3 linked regions of the Canis lupus familiaris genome follow. The protein of the gene in region 2 interacts with the protein of the main gene of each other region in a pairwise test. Links are inferred from orthologs where the notes say so. Each region holds a gene or a part of one and is shown on either strand. Other genes may lie near its edges. The genes, in order: DBP, DDIT3 and CEBPA.

Region 1 (3,739 bases), on a different chromosome or scaffold from region 2:
TGATTCTGTGATCCCAGGCCCCTCCTCTCCCAGGAACATAGGAGGCTCGCGGTCGTTGCCCCAACGGAAGACCCAGTTTGAAGATCCCCAACCTTCTAGATTCCATCTAGAGGACTCCGCGACCCCGGGTCCTAGCTCTTCTCCACTGGAGGACCCAGCAACTAGGGCTGCCAGTCTCTTAGATCCCAGTGAAATAAGTCTGTGCCCAGACCTTGCTTTCTTCCCTGTAGAGGGCCTAGGGGTTACAGTTCTTCCCCAGTCCACAGATTCCAGGCCCAGAATCTGGAGCGCAGTTCACTCCCCAGTAATCGAGTGTCCCCACCCTCTGTCTCCACGTTCCACAGAAAAGTCCACACTACCGCCCCACTGGGCAGACTTCCTGTAATTTGGGATCCCAAGGCCCCCATCTCCAATGGATCCAGGAGACCCAGTCCCTGACGCATTAGGAAGCAGAGAATCCAGACTCCTCTCCCAGCATCTCTTGCGCCTAGAAGCCCCAGAACTTGGGCGCACAACCCCAGCCCCACGCTCCCGGCCCCAAGTGCTGTACAGCCCCGCCCCTAAAGCCCAAGCCCCGCCCCACCAGGGCCCTGCCCCGCCCCCGCCGTCGCACCTGCGCGGTGGCCGCCCGCGGCCCCGAGGGCAGCCCGGGTGGGGGCGTGCCCCGGGGAGGAACGAGGGGAAGCTGAGCCGCAGGAACCGGGCCCCGGGGAGGGTGCGGGCGTGCGCACGGGCGAGGGCGCCGGTGATGGGCCCCCGGGCGGCGGCGGGCTGGGCGGGAGCCCGTGCTCCAGCAAGAACGCGTCCAGGTCCACGTACTCCACGTCGCCGAACGGCAGCGTCCGCTCCCACAGCAGCGGCGCCAACAGACCCGGGCCTGGCGGGGCCCCCGGGCGCCCCCGCGGGGACCCGCCGCCCACCGCCGCCCCAGCTGGGGCATCCGCCGGGCCCGCCGTCTCCAGGCCTGGCCCGGGGACCGTGGCTGTTGGCGGAGCCGCCTTGCGCTCCTTTTCCTTCAGGAGACCTGCGGGGTGGGAAGGAAGAGATGGAGAAGAGACCCCCGAGACAGAGAGACGCGAAGAAAGGGGAGATAGAGACCCACACGACGGAGATCCAGAGCAAGACGGACAGGCGGGGGAGAGGCAGAGATAAGAGTGGGAAGGCAAGGACCCCAAAAGAAGAGACAGAGACTCAAGAGAGGAAAAGAGACCCAGAGAGAAAGCACAGAAAGGGGCGCCACAGAGAGAGAGACGGGTACCGAGACTCAGAAAGAGTGGAGGATAGAGACCCAGACAAGGAGAGGACACAGACCAGGGAAGGGATAGAGACACAGAAGGGGGACGGAAGTTCAGACAGAGGTAGGTGGAGGGTTGGGCAGGTGAGACTTCTCTGTAGTCTAACCCCCTTGCTCACAGGAATCTCTTCTCCCCACCCCCACACTATGTAAGGGGCAGGAAGGGGCTCTATTCCTGGGGCACATTCCTCATCCCTAGACTCCATGTGACCCCAGGAGGCCCCGCCCAAGCCCGTGTCACTACCGTGTGAGCATCCGACACACCCCCTCCCTCCTCCCTGGACCCCAGGGGTCCAGACTCTCAGAATCCAGAGGAAGCGGGGGCTGGAGCCCAGACTCTTGTGTCCTCGGAAAAGAGGACTTTGGGGGGACTCCTTGGGTCTTCCTGGTGGACGGGCTTGAGCGCCTGTACTTTTGGATCCTGGGTGCTGAGGGACTTAGGGGCCTGAACACCTTTGTAATCGGGTAGATGACGGGTAAAGGATGGACTCTCCGCTCGTAGGAGGGAGCCACCAGTCCCCCACCCCCCTCAACACTTGAATCCCTATGGGAGTAGGGTGTCCGGGTTGGGATAGATGGGGGCTAGAACTCACAGCTGGCTGGCTCTTTGGGTTTGCTGGTCCCCTGCAGAAGGCTCCGCAGCCCAAGCAGCGCTCCCCCGCCAGGGGGGGCCCCGGCTGGGCCGCCCAGCAGCAGGGAAGCCGGGGCCCTGTCGCTCACCGGCCGCGCCATCACCGGGCACCTGCCCGCAGGCTCACGGGCTCATGGAGAGGCGAAGAGCTGGCTTGCCAGTCAGCGGCACACTCCTGTGGTTCGGGCGAGTGCCTACCCAGGGGCGGGCGAGCGGAGCTTGCAAGCCTCCAGTATCCAGAACACTGCAAATCCTAGGGGTGACGGGGATTTGCAGTCCTCGGTGCAGAAACGTGCAACTCAAGAGGGTCCCAGGAGATCATGCAGTCCGAGTGAGAGGCTTGATCAAAACCAGGCAGCCGGCTCTTTGCTACTCAGAGTTCAAGGGGACACCAGGCGCTCCTTCTACAAGGTGGGCGAGCCTGGCTCTTGCAAAATCTGCAGCTCTCTCAGCGGAAGGCGCTTTGCAATCTGCACCAAGAGGTGTGCGCGGAGGGCGGGGGAGGGGGCAAGAGGAGGCGGCCGCCTTGAGGCGTGGCCAACGCAAACTTCTTTCGCGGAAAAAAAAAAAAAAAAAAAAAAGCCAAACCAAAACACCCGACGCCACAGCGCGCACCCCTCCCCTCGGCCCCTGCCAGCCTCTTGGGCTAAGCACCCCAGCCGCGTGCCTCCCTCCGGCTGAAAGCGCGGGCCAATCGCGTCCTGACCCTTCGAGACGCACGGCCAATGGGACCCCCGGATCCTCCAGGGCTCGGGAGGGCGCGTGAGGGGCTCAGGGCGTGAAGTGGCCGTGCCTTTAGGTGAGAGGCGGGACCCTGACCTACATTTGCCCAATGGGAGACTGCACTGGGGGCGGGACCCTGACCCAGTTCGGGCCAATGAGGCAGGCGGGAGGGGGAAGCACATGGCTCCGCGCGTGCTGCCGGGCGGGGAGGGGAGTTGGGGGAGTGAAAAGAGGCGCCGCTTAAAGGAGCCGCCAACCGAAATGTCGGTTTTGGGAAACAGGAAGCCGAAACACCGAGCGGGGCGGTTTAGGAAGAGGGAGACTGGTTTCTAGAAGCAGGCTGCTGTTCTTCAGTACCCATGTTTCCCCGCCGCGCCTAGAATCAGACCACTAAGAAACAGGAAGTATTCTGTCCCTTTAATAGCTTTGTTTTGGGGGTAACTCCCCTCCCCGTGTGGGGAGACTTGGAGAGGACGGGCGCAATCCTCGACGGGGAGTCTCAGCGACCATGGGGGGCACCATCCACTGTAAGACAGACGACACCGGTAGCGGATCGTTAGTTTAGGGCTCCCTGCAGGGGGTTTGCAGGGAGGCGGGGGCTGGGCCGCGGTGGGCTCTACCACGGGGAGGCTGCGGAGGGGGAAGCCGGAAGGTACCAAGTCGAGAAGTTGGGGGAAACGGGTCAGGTTCTGGACCCGCGCTGGGTTTAACCAACAGGAGGCAGCAGGAGGGTTGAATGGGGACGTCCAGCTTCAGCATCACACGGAACTGCAGGAAGGTACTCATGGGGGTGGGGGTAGGGGTCAGGGCTAAACCCCGCAGAGAAGCTAGAGTGGTGGCCCAGAGATCGCAGGGTCGAACCGCACAGGCTAGGCAGTGGAGAGGGAAGGGGGTTGTACCACGTTGATTTTCAGGAAGGGGGTGTGTGTCGGGTTATGGAACAGCTTGAGATCGTACCACATGGAAACCGGGAAAGGATCCGGGCTGTACCACTTTGGAAAACCCTAGTAATGGAAAGCACGGCCCGTGGGGCGGGAGGAGCCAGGGATCTCGGGTTATATACCAAGTTGCAAGTTGCAAGCGGTGAAGAG
Region 2 (3,739 bases):
AGAAGTTTCATTTAAATGTCACCTCTGTGAGAGAATCTCTAATGACTCAAGGTAAACATCCTGGGCATTCACTACCCTTCCATGCTTTGGTTTTCTCCTTGGCACTTCTATATTTGTTCGCTGTGCACCTTTTCCCACGAAATGTAAGCTCTGTGAGAACAGGTCTTTTCCTTGTTCGTAGATGCATCCTGGGCCTAAAATGTGTGGCACATAGCAGGTGTGTAATAAGTAATTTGTGAAGAATGAAAGAATTCTCCCCAGTGTCTCATAGGGAAGGGAGGAGGAAGCCCAGAGGCAGAGCAGCAGCTGCCCAGCCCTGGGGACTGGAGATGCAATATCTCCCAGAGTGTTTCTCTTCAGGGCTGTCCTCCCTGGGGGACCCTCCTTGCCTTCCAGCGTGTGGGATGCCGCTTTCATCAGCAGTGGGGCCCCAGGCCAGAGGGCTGCAGAGCCAAACAGGGGGCTGGCCTGATGCAACGGTTACACAGAAATTAGCTGGGAGGCAGGACGCGGGGAAAGCAGCAGGGACAAATCCCTGCGGAAGGACCCTACACTGGGGAGACCCCAAATGGCTTCCCACACTTAAGGGATCCAGAATGCTCTCTTGTGCAGGAGGCCCCCGGGACCTCTGGGGGAATGGGAAAACCCATCTCTGCTCCCTAGCCATTGGCATCCCTCCTCCTCCCAAAGTCTGGAGTCTGTCTCCTTAAGGTTCTCTTCTCCGTTAGGGTGTGGAATGGCTGTCCTGTGCAGGACCCAGGAGCTCCATCCACCGACGTGGCCACTCTGGCCCTGAGACGCTGGGCTGAGACAGGATTGGGGGTGGGGTAGGGGCAGGGCCGCTGGTGGGAAAGTGGCGGCAAGGGCGTGAGCCAGAGCCATCCAGGCGTCTCGGCGTGGGGGAGTGTCCTGCCGCCCCGCCTCCCACCGGACAGGACCAAGGAGGCGGCCTAGGGCAGCAGCGGAAGACAGGGAGTCTCCCGAGGGCATCCGGACCCCTTAGCCCGACGGCCCAGAGCCGGGCCCGCGCTCCGGGCAGGGTGGGGCGCCGCTCCCGTCCGAGGGAAGAGAGGTCTGTAAGCACCACTCCCGGATAAAGGATGCTCCCCGTCCCTCCCTCGAACTGTCACTAACTTCGTCGGGGAACGGGTGGGGCCGCATCCTGAGCAGCTGATGCCCCAACTTCGAAGGGACAACCAGCATCCCCGAGGACTAGAGGGTAAAGAGCAGGTGGGATCGGTACTCGCCTCTCTCCTCAGGTTCCGGCTCTGACTGTGGCTCTGTGGCTGCCACCCGCTCATCTTCAACATGATCCGCTCTGTGCCTTACACTCAAGCCTCTGACCTCGGAGGCCCGAGCGCGGATGTTTTAAGGAGGCCCTGCCCTCCCCTCGGGGGCGGGCCCGCAAGCCTGCCAATCAGGGCGCGGCACGCCGGCGCTGGCCCCGCCCCGCCCCCCGCGCCCGCCACTCAGCAGCCCCCGCGGCGCCGCCCCCTTCGCTCCCGCCGGCCCGGGGGTAGAGGTGGTGTCGGACCCGGAAGTGGCTTTGGGTCACGAGGCTCCGCGGAGGAGGCGAGTGAGTCATGCGCGCGCGCGGAGGGGAGAGCTGGGGGGGAGGGGAGGAGGGGAGGAGAGGGGGGCGGGGATGATGCAATGTTTGGCAACCGGTGTCTCGGCGCGCACGCGCAGGGGCCGACGAGGGTGGTGGGCGGTGCGGGGGGGTGGGGGAGAGGAGAGGGCGGGGCGCCAGCGCCGGGCTCCCAACGGCCCCAACGGCTCCCAACCGTGGCCGCCCTCAGGCTGCCTGCGAAGCCGCGCTGCGGCTCGTCCTCCTCGGCGCCCTTATTCCGCCCACCTGGCGTTAGCCCCCGCCTCGCCGTCTGCATGGGGGGCTCCCATTTTGCTCGGTCCCCTCCTAGTTAGTGGGCGCGAGGTCTTCTAAGCCAATCTCTTTTGAAAGTTTGCATGCAGCCACAGGACCGCCTAACGTCTCCTCGAGTAGGCGCATAGAAAGATCCCGTTTAGCTCCCTAATTCCCCCAGAAGGGGCCGAGGAACTTGAGTACTTTTGATGGTCATTTTCAGCTCCTCGCCGAAAAGCACCCCTAACTTTTATCTTTGTGAAGTTTCTGATGAGCGCTCAGCATGCCAGGATTCAGGACTTGGCCCGGTGGACGCGATTCTCAGCCTCCCCCCCCCCCCCCCCCGTACTCTGGTGCCTCCACCAAGGATCAAGACCCGCCCTTTTCGCTGTACCAGCCGCGCAGGTCCTGTGACTCCTGCGTGAGGAGCCGTGCACCCGCCGCCTGCCGCCTCGGTGCTCGGGCGACCTTAGAGCCTCGTTGCCTGGGACGTTGGGTGCACTTGAGCGCGCAGCCGCCTTGCACCGGGTTGTCAGGAGCCCAGAGTCTGGCCTCACCTGCCCCTTTACTTGCCCCCTAATATCTGTGCCACAACCGTTCTTGTTTGTAAATAAAGGATGACGAGTTGTGAAGGTAAAACGAGAGCACTATGAACTTGGAGGCAGCTTAAACAAAAGTGAAAAGCATCGCTTAAAATGCAAACGTTTTTCTTGTGCCATTAGAGAGAAAAAAGATGCCATGTGGCGGCCGGTTGTATTCACTGTCATACCCTCACGGGGGCAGCCAGAGTTAAGTAGAATCTGTCACAAGGCCGGTTGTGGCTGCAAGGAGGTTTAGGTGGTGGTGTGACGGTGACAGGTCCTCGGCCGGGCCTGCTCCGTTGCTCCAGACCTCCATTTCCCCTTCAGTAGATGGGGGTGGGGGTGGGTTGGACCAGATGGTCTCTCCTGGCCCAAAGACATGACCAGGTTGTCAGTGACAGGCAGAGGTCATGTGACTTGACAGGCGGAGGTCCTGTTGTGACATGTTGACCTGGGGAGGCGGGTCAAGTCCCAGCACACTACCCGGGAAGCCTTTGGGGCGGGGCAGGGCAAGTCGCGACTTTCATCTTTTGGGGCCGGCCCCTCCCGGACCCGGCATTCCTGGCTCCCCCGACAGACTGTGGCTTTGGAAGGGGCCCCTCCCCGGGGAGGGCTGGGATTGGCCGCCGGTGGCCTGGGAAGAGGCTCAGATCCTTCCGCGGAGGGCGGGGGGGCCGCGTGGGGTGTTTGTTCTCTTGGGGATTAATGGGGGGTTGTGGGGGAGGGGTAGGCGCGCTCCCGCATGCGCACTGCGGCCCCTCCTGTTGGCTCGTCGTTGTCCGCTGGGCGGGGGCCCGGCCCCGCCCCTCTCCCGTCCGGGCAGCGGCGGCGGCGGCGGCGGCGGCGGCTGCGGCGGCGGCGGCGGCAGCGACGGCGGCGGCGGCGGCGGCAGCCTGCGCGGTGCCTTCTGGGAACGGAATCCCCAGGGCTGCCCCTGGCCCCCATGGCGCATGCGCGGGAGGCCGCTCGGTGATCCGCGGCGGCGGCGGCGGCGCTTCCTGCTAGGACCGGCCGGGGCCGTACCGGAGGCTCGGGCTCCGCCGACCCTCCTCCCACTCCCTCCCACTCACCCTCTGGGCCGCGACTGCGCAGGGCGGGGCCGGCCGAGCCATGGGCCGCGGTGAGTGCAGGGCCCGGCCCCCCCGCCCCTCCCCCTCCCCTCCCCTGCTGTCCCTACCCTCTGCCCCCCGCGTCCTCGGCCCCTTTCCCGGCCCCATCCCCGCCCCCCCGCCCTCACCTGCCCCCGCCGTCTCTCCCTCGCACTGCTTGACTTTTGCCTTCTTCACCTCCCTCCCTC
Region 3 (3,739 bases), on a different chromosome or scaffold from region 2:
GCAGCTGCTGACAAAGAGTCTCATTTTGGCAAGTATCTGAGCAAAACCAAAACAAAACAAAAACCAAATAAAATGGTGGTTTAGCATAGACGTGCACATTCACATTGCACAAGGCACCGCTGGGACACAGAGAGGCCAGATACAAGTGTTGATATCGGCTGATAAAGCAAAATATTTGGAAAGCTTCTCATAACTTCGGTCCCTCTGGGATGGACAGATTGTGCTTCATGTTTGTATGGCAATGCTGGCAACATACAGTACAAGGCTGATGGTCCCAGTGTCCCTTCACCCCACCTCCCCGCCCCACTCCCACCCCCACCCCGGGGCCAGATCTCTAGGTTTCCCTCTGCCACCAGGCTACCACTCCCACGAACACGTATCCAGATAGCTTTGGCCTGCCCTGGCCTGACCGGGGGTGGGGGTGGAGGGGCTCCCGCCGGTCACCCGGTGACCCCCATCTCAGTGAGTTCTGCCCAGGGAAGCCCAGCCCGTGACAGGCTGGGAGACTGGAGGGCAGGGAGCTAGGGACCCGCCACCTTCATGTAGAACTAGGGTAACGACCTTCCAAGTCCCTGTATGTCCTCCCTTCCGAGGACGGGCGCCGAGAGATCCTGACCCTTGGAGCAGCCGCGGGCCTGCACGCTGCCCTCTCTCCCCGGGGGTGGGGGTGGGGGTGGGGGGCCTGCACCTCGGGGTGCGGCAGGAACCCTCCGAATAAAATGACAAGGCACCTATCGGCTCCCCCTACTCGGTAGGAATCGGAGCGGCGAGTTTGCGTTTCCAAGGCACGAGGTTATCCTTAATACTAGAGTTGCCAGGCTCGGGCTCGGGCTCGGGCTCGGCTCGGCCCCACGGCGCTTCCCTCCTTCGGGGAGAAGGCCCGGCCTGACCCCCGTCCTGGGCGCACCGAATCGGCGGGCCGGGGCCTCCCAGGCCGGGCCTGCGCCGCGGGGGGCAGCCTGGAGATCCCGAGCCGAGCCCGACTCCACGAATCCACGCCCGGGGTCCCAGCGGGCGGCCGCCCCGCGCCTCACGGGCAGTTGCCCATGGCCTTGACCAGGGAGCTCTCGGGCAGCTGGCGGAAGATGCCCCGCAGCGTGTCCAGCTCGCGGCTCAGCTGTTCCACCCGCTTGCGCAGGCGGTCATTGTCACTGGTGAGCTCCAGCACCTTCTGCTGCGTCTCCACGTTGCGCTGCTTGGCCTTGTCCCGGCTCTTGCGCACGGCGATGTTGTTGCGCTCGCGCCGCACCCGGTACTCGTTGCTGTTCTTGTCCACCGACTTCTTGACTTTGCCCGCGCCGCCGCCTCCGCCTCCTCCGCCTCCGCCGCCTCCTCCGCCGCCTCCTCCGCCTCCGCCGCCGCCCGCCGCGCGGAGGTCGGGGTGCGCGGCGGCCAGCGCCTTGAGCGCGCCGCCGGGGCCCGGCAAGCCCGCGGGGCCGAGGGCGGGCGCCGGGTGAGGGCTGGGCACGGGCGTGGGCGGCGGCGTGGGGTGGCCGGGCTGCAGGTGCATGGTGGTCTGGCCGCAGTGCGCGATCTGGAACTGCAGGTGCGGGGCGGCCAGGTGCGCGGGCGGCGCGTGCGCGTGCGGGTGCGGGTGCGGGTGCGGGTGCGGCGGCGGCGGCGGCGGCGGCTGGTAGGGGAAGAGGCCGGCCAGCGCCAGCTGCTTCGCCTCGTCGTCCTCGCGCGGCTCCTGCTTGATCACCAGCGGCCGCAGCGCCGGCGCCCCGACGCGCTCGTACAGCGGCTCCAGCCTGCCGTCCAGGTAGCCGGCCGCCGCGCAGCCGTAGCCGGGAGCCGGGCCGTGCGCGCCGCCGGGCATCGCCGCGCCGCCGGGGCCCCCGGGGGCGCCCGCGTAGTCGAAGTCGCCGCCGCCGCCGCCGCCGCCGCCGCCGCCGCCGCCGCCGCCCGCGGGGGCCGCGGCCGCCTTGGCCTTCTCCTGCTGCCGGCTGTGCTGGAACAGGTCGGCCAGGAACTCGTCGTTGAAGGCGGCCGGGTCGATGTAGGCGCTGATGTCGATGGACGTCTCGTGTTCGCAGATGCCGCCCAGCGGCTCCGGGGCGGCAGGTGGGGCGGGGGCCTGCGCGGAGCCCGCGCCCCGGGGGAAGCCGAAGGCGGCGCTGCTGGGCGCGTGCGGGGGGCTCTGGAGGTGGCTGCTCATCGGGGGCCGCGGCTCCGCCTCGTAGAAGTCGGCCGACTCCATGGGGGAGCTACAGCCCTCCCGGCATGGCGCGCCTCGGCGGCCTCCAGCCCGCGCGGGGCGCCAACGCCGCCGCCGCCGCCGCCGCCCCCGAGCCCCGGGCCCCGCCGCCTCGCGCCCGCGCAGCTCCGGTCGCGAATGGCCAGGCCCGCGCGGGGCCCGCGTTTATACCGGGGGCGGCGCCCTGCGGAGCCCGACGGAGCGGCGGCGCCTCCTGGGTCCTAGCGCCGGGCCGCCGGCGGGGGAGGCGAGCGGGGCCGCAGCGCGGCGCGGGCGGGAGGGGCCCCGGCGCGGCGCCCCCTGCCCCGGCCCCGCCGGCCCGACCCGGACGCGCGCGCGCCCCGCCCTGGGCCGAGCCGTCGCCCCCGCACGCACGTGGCCGGGGACCGGGCCCCCTCCTCGGGCTGCCCCGGGGCTCCACTTCCAGCCGGCGGCCGGGGAGTCCGGGAGCGCCCAGGCGCGGCGCGCGGTGGGGGCGGGGGGGCCGGGGGGCCGGGGGCCGGGCTTGCGGCCTGAGCCACCGCCGCGGGACTCGCTCTCAGAGCTCCCAGTGGCCCCGCCGGGGCCCCGGTGTCGGCTGGGCGGCGGCGCGGGGAGGGGGCCGGAGCCGGCCGGGAGGCCGAGGGGAGCGCCCGGCGCGCGGCGGCTCCGCGTCCCCCTCCCTGACCTCGGGCCGCCCCGCCGAGGCCGCGCAGGAGCCGGTCCCCGCCCGCCGCGTCCTGCGGGGTCCCCGGGCTGGCGGCGCCGGGCGCTAGGACCGCGCGGGGCGCGGAGGCGAGGCAGGCGGCGGCCGCGGGGAGCGGGAGGACGCGGCCGGCGGGTCCGCGGGGCAGGACAACTTTTTCTTTTCCAGGACTTGCCCCGGCCCGAGGCGCGGGAGGCTGGGCGCGCGGGGCTGGCGCCGTGCCTGGAGCTGGAGCCCAGGGCCGGGGTTCCGCGGCCAGGCGGGGCGCGCAGACGGAGGACGCCGAGCTGAGCCGGGACGGGGACCCCGGGCTCGGGAGCCTCTGCCCCCGCGCCCCGCACCTCCGCCCCAGTTCCGGTGGGCTCCGGGGCGGGAGCCGGGGCTCGGGGACCTCGGGGACCTCGGGGACCTCGGGAGGGCCCTGCCCGCGGCTCGCAGGGCGCTGGGTCCCGGGATCCTGGGGAACGAGGTGGCCAGGCCGGGTCCCCTTGGCCGCCGCCTCCGCATTCGCTGCTGGAGCTGGGGGTTAAGGCAGCGCGTCTCCCCAGCCACGTGGCGCCTCGCGGCTCTATCCCGGGACCGCGGGCGGCGGCGGGGGGGCGGGGGCGCACCCCGGGGCCCGCAGGTCGCCGCTGCCTCTACCTCCCCCGCAGCGCCCCTTAAGACTTAGTGCGCCGAAGCCCGACACCGCCCGGGCGCCGGTTGGAGGTGTGCCCGTTTGGGGAGAGCCGGGCTGCGCAGGCCAGGACCTCCCCCCCCCCCCCCAAGGTGGCCTTCCAGAGCCTGGCAAGGCGCCAGAGCCCGCCCGGGAGCCCCGGAGGAGGCGCCCCGCAAAAGCACAGCCGGCCGGGGAGGCC

The links.
Region 1: the proteins of DDIT3 (region 2) and DBP interact in binary tests that used the Homo sapiens proteins (3 or more experiments, as listed by UniProt). The link is inferred for Canis lupus familiaris from reciprocal best matches to the Homo sapiens genes DDIT3 and DBP.
Region 3: the proteins of DDIT3 (region 2) and CEBPA interact in binary tests that used the Homo sapiens proteins (3 or more experiments, as listed by UniProt). The link is inferred for Canis lupus familiaris from reciprocal best matches to the Homo sapiens genes DDIT3 and CEBPA.

The regions. Positions count from the first base shown.
Region 1 is NC_049222.1:108,347,723-108,351,461, reverse strand, and holds the start of DBP (D site-binding protein), read right to left. Parts: upstream 2,744-3,739; 5' UTR 2,027-2,743; coding exon 1,888-2,026; intron 1,025-1,887; coding exon 614-1,024; intron 1-613. Other genes in the region: CA11 (carbonic anhydrase-related protein 11), read right to left, coding at 3,148-3,173. UniProt on the Homo sapiens protein: This transcriptional activator recognizes and binds to the sequence 5'-RTTAYGTAAY-3' found in the promoter of genes such as albumin, CYP2A4 and CYP2A5. It is not essential for circadian rhythm generation, but modulates important clock output genes.
Region 2 is NC_049231.1:1,963,936-1,967,674, forward strand, and holds the start of DDIT3 (DNA damage-inducible transcript 3 protein), read right to left. Parts: upstream 2,358-3,739; 5' UTR 2,256-2,357; intron 1,577-2,255; exon of another isoform or gene 1,494-1,576; intron 1,398-1,493; exon of another isoform or gene 1,248-1,397; intron 1-1,247. UniProt on the Homo sapiens protein: Multifunctional transcription factor in endoplasmic reticulum (ER) stress response. Plays an essential role in the response to a wide variety of cell stresses and induces cell cycle arrest and apoptosis in response to ER stress.
Region 3 is NC_049222.1:119,691,155-119,694,893, reverse strand, and holds the start of CEBPA (CCAAT/enhancer-binding protein alpha), read right to left. Parts: upstream 2,286-3,739; 5' UTR 2,201-2,285; coding exon 1,372-2,200; intron 1,333-1,371; coding exon 1,031-1,332; 3' UTR 1-1,030. UniProt on the Homo sapiens protein: Transcription factor that coordinates proliferation arrest and the differentiation of myeloid progenitors, adipocytes, hepatocytes, and cells of the lung and the placenta.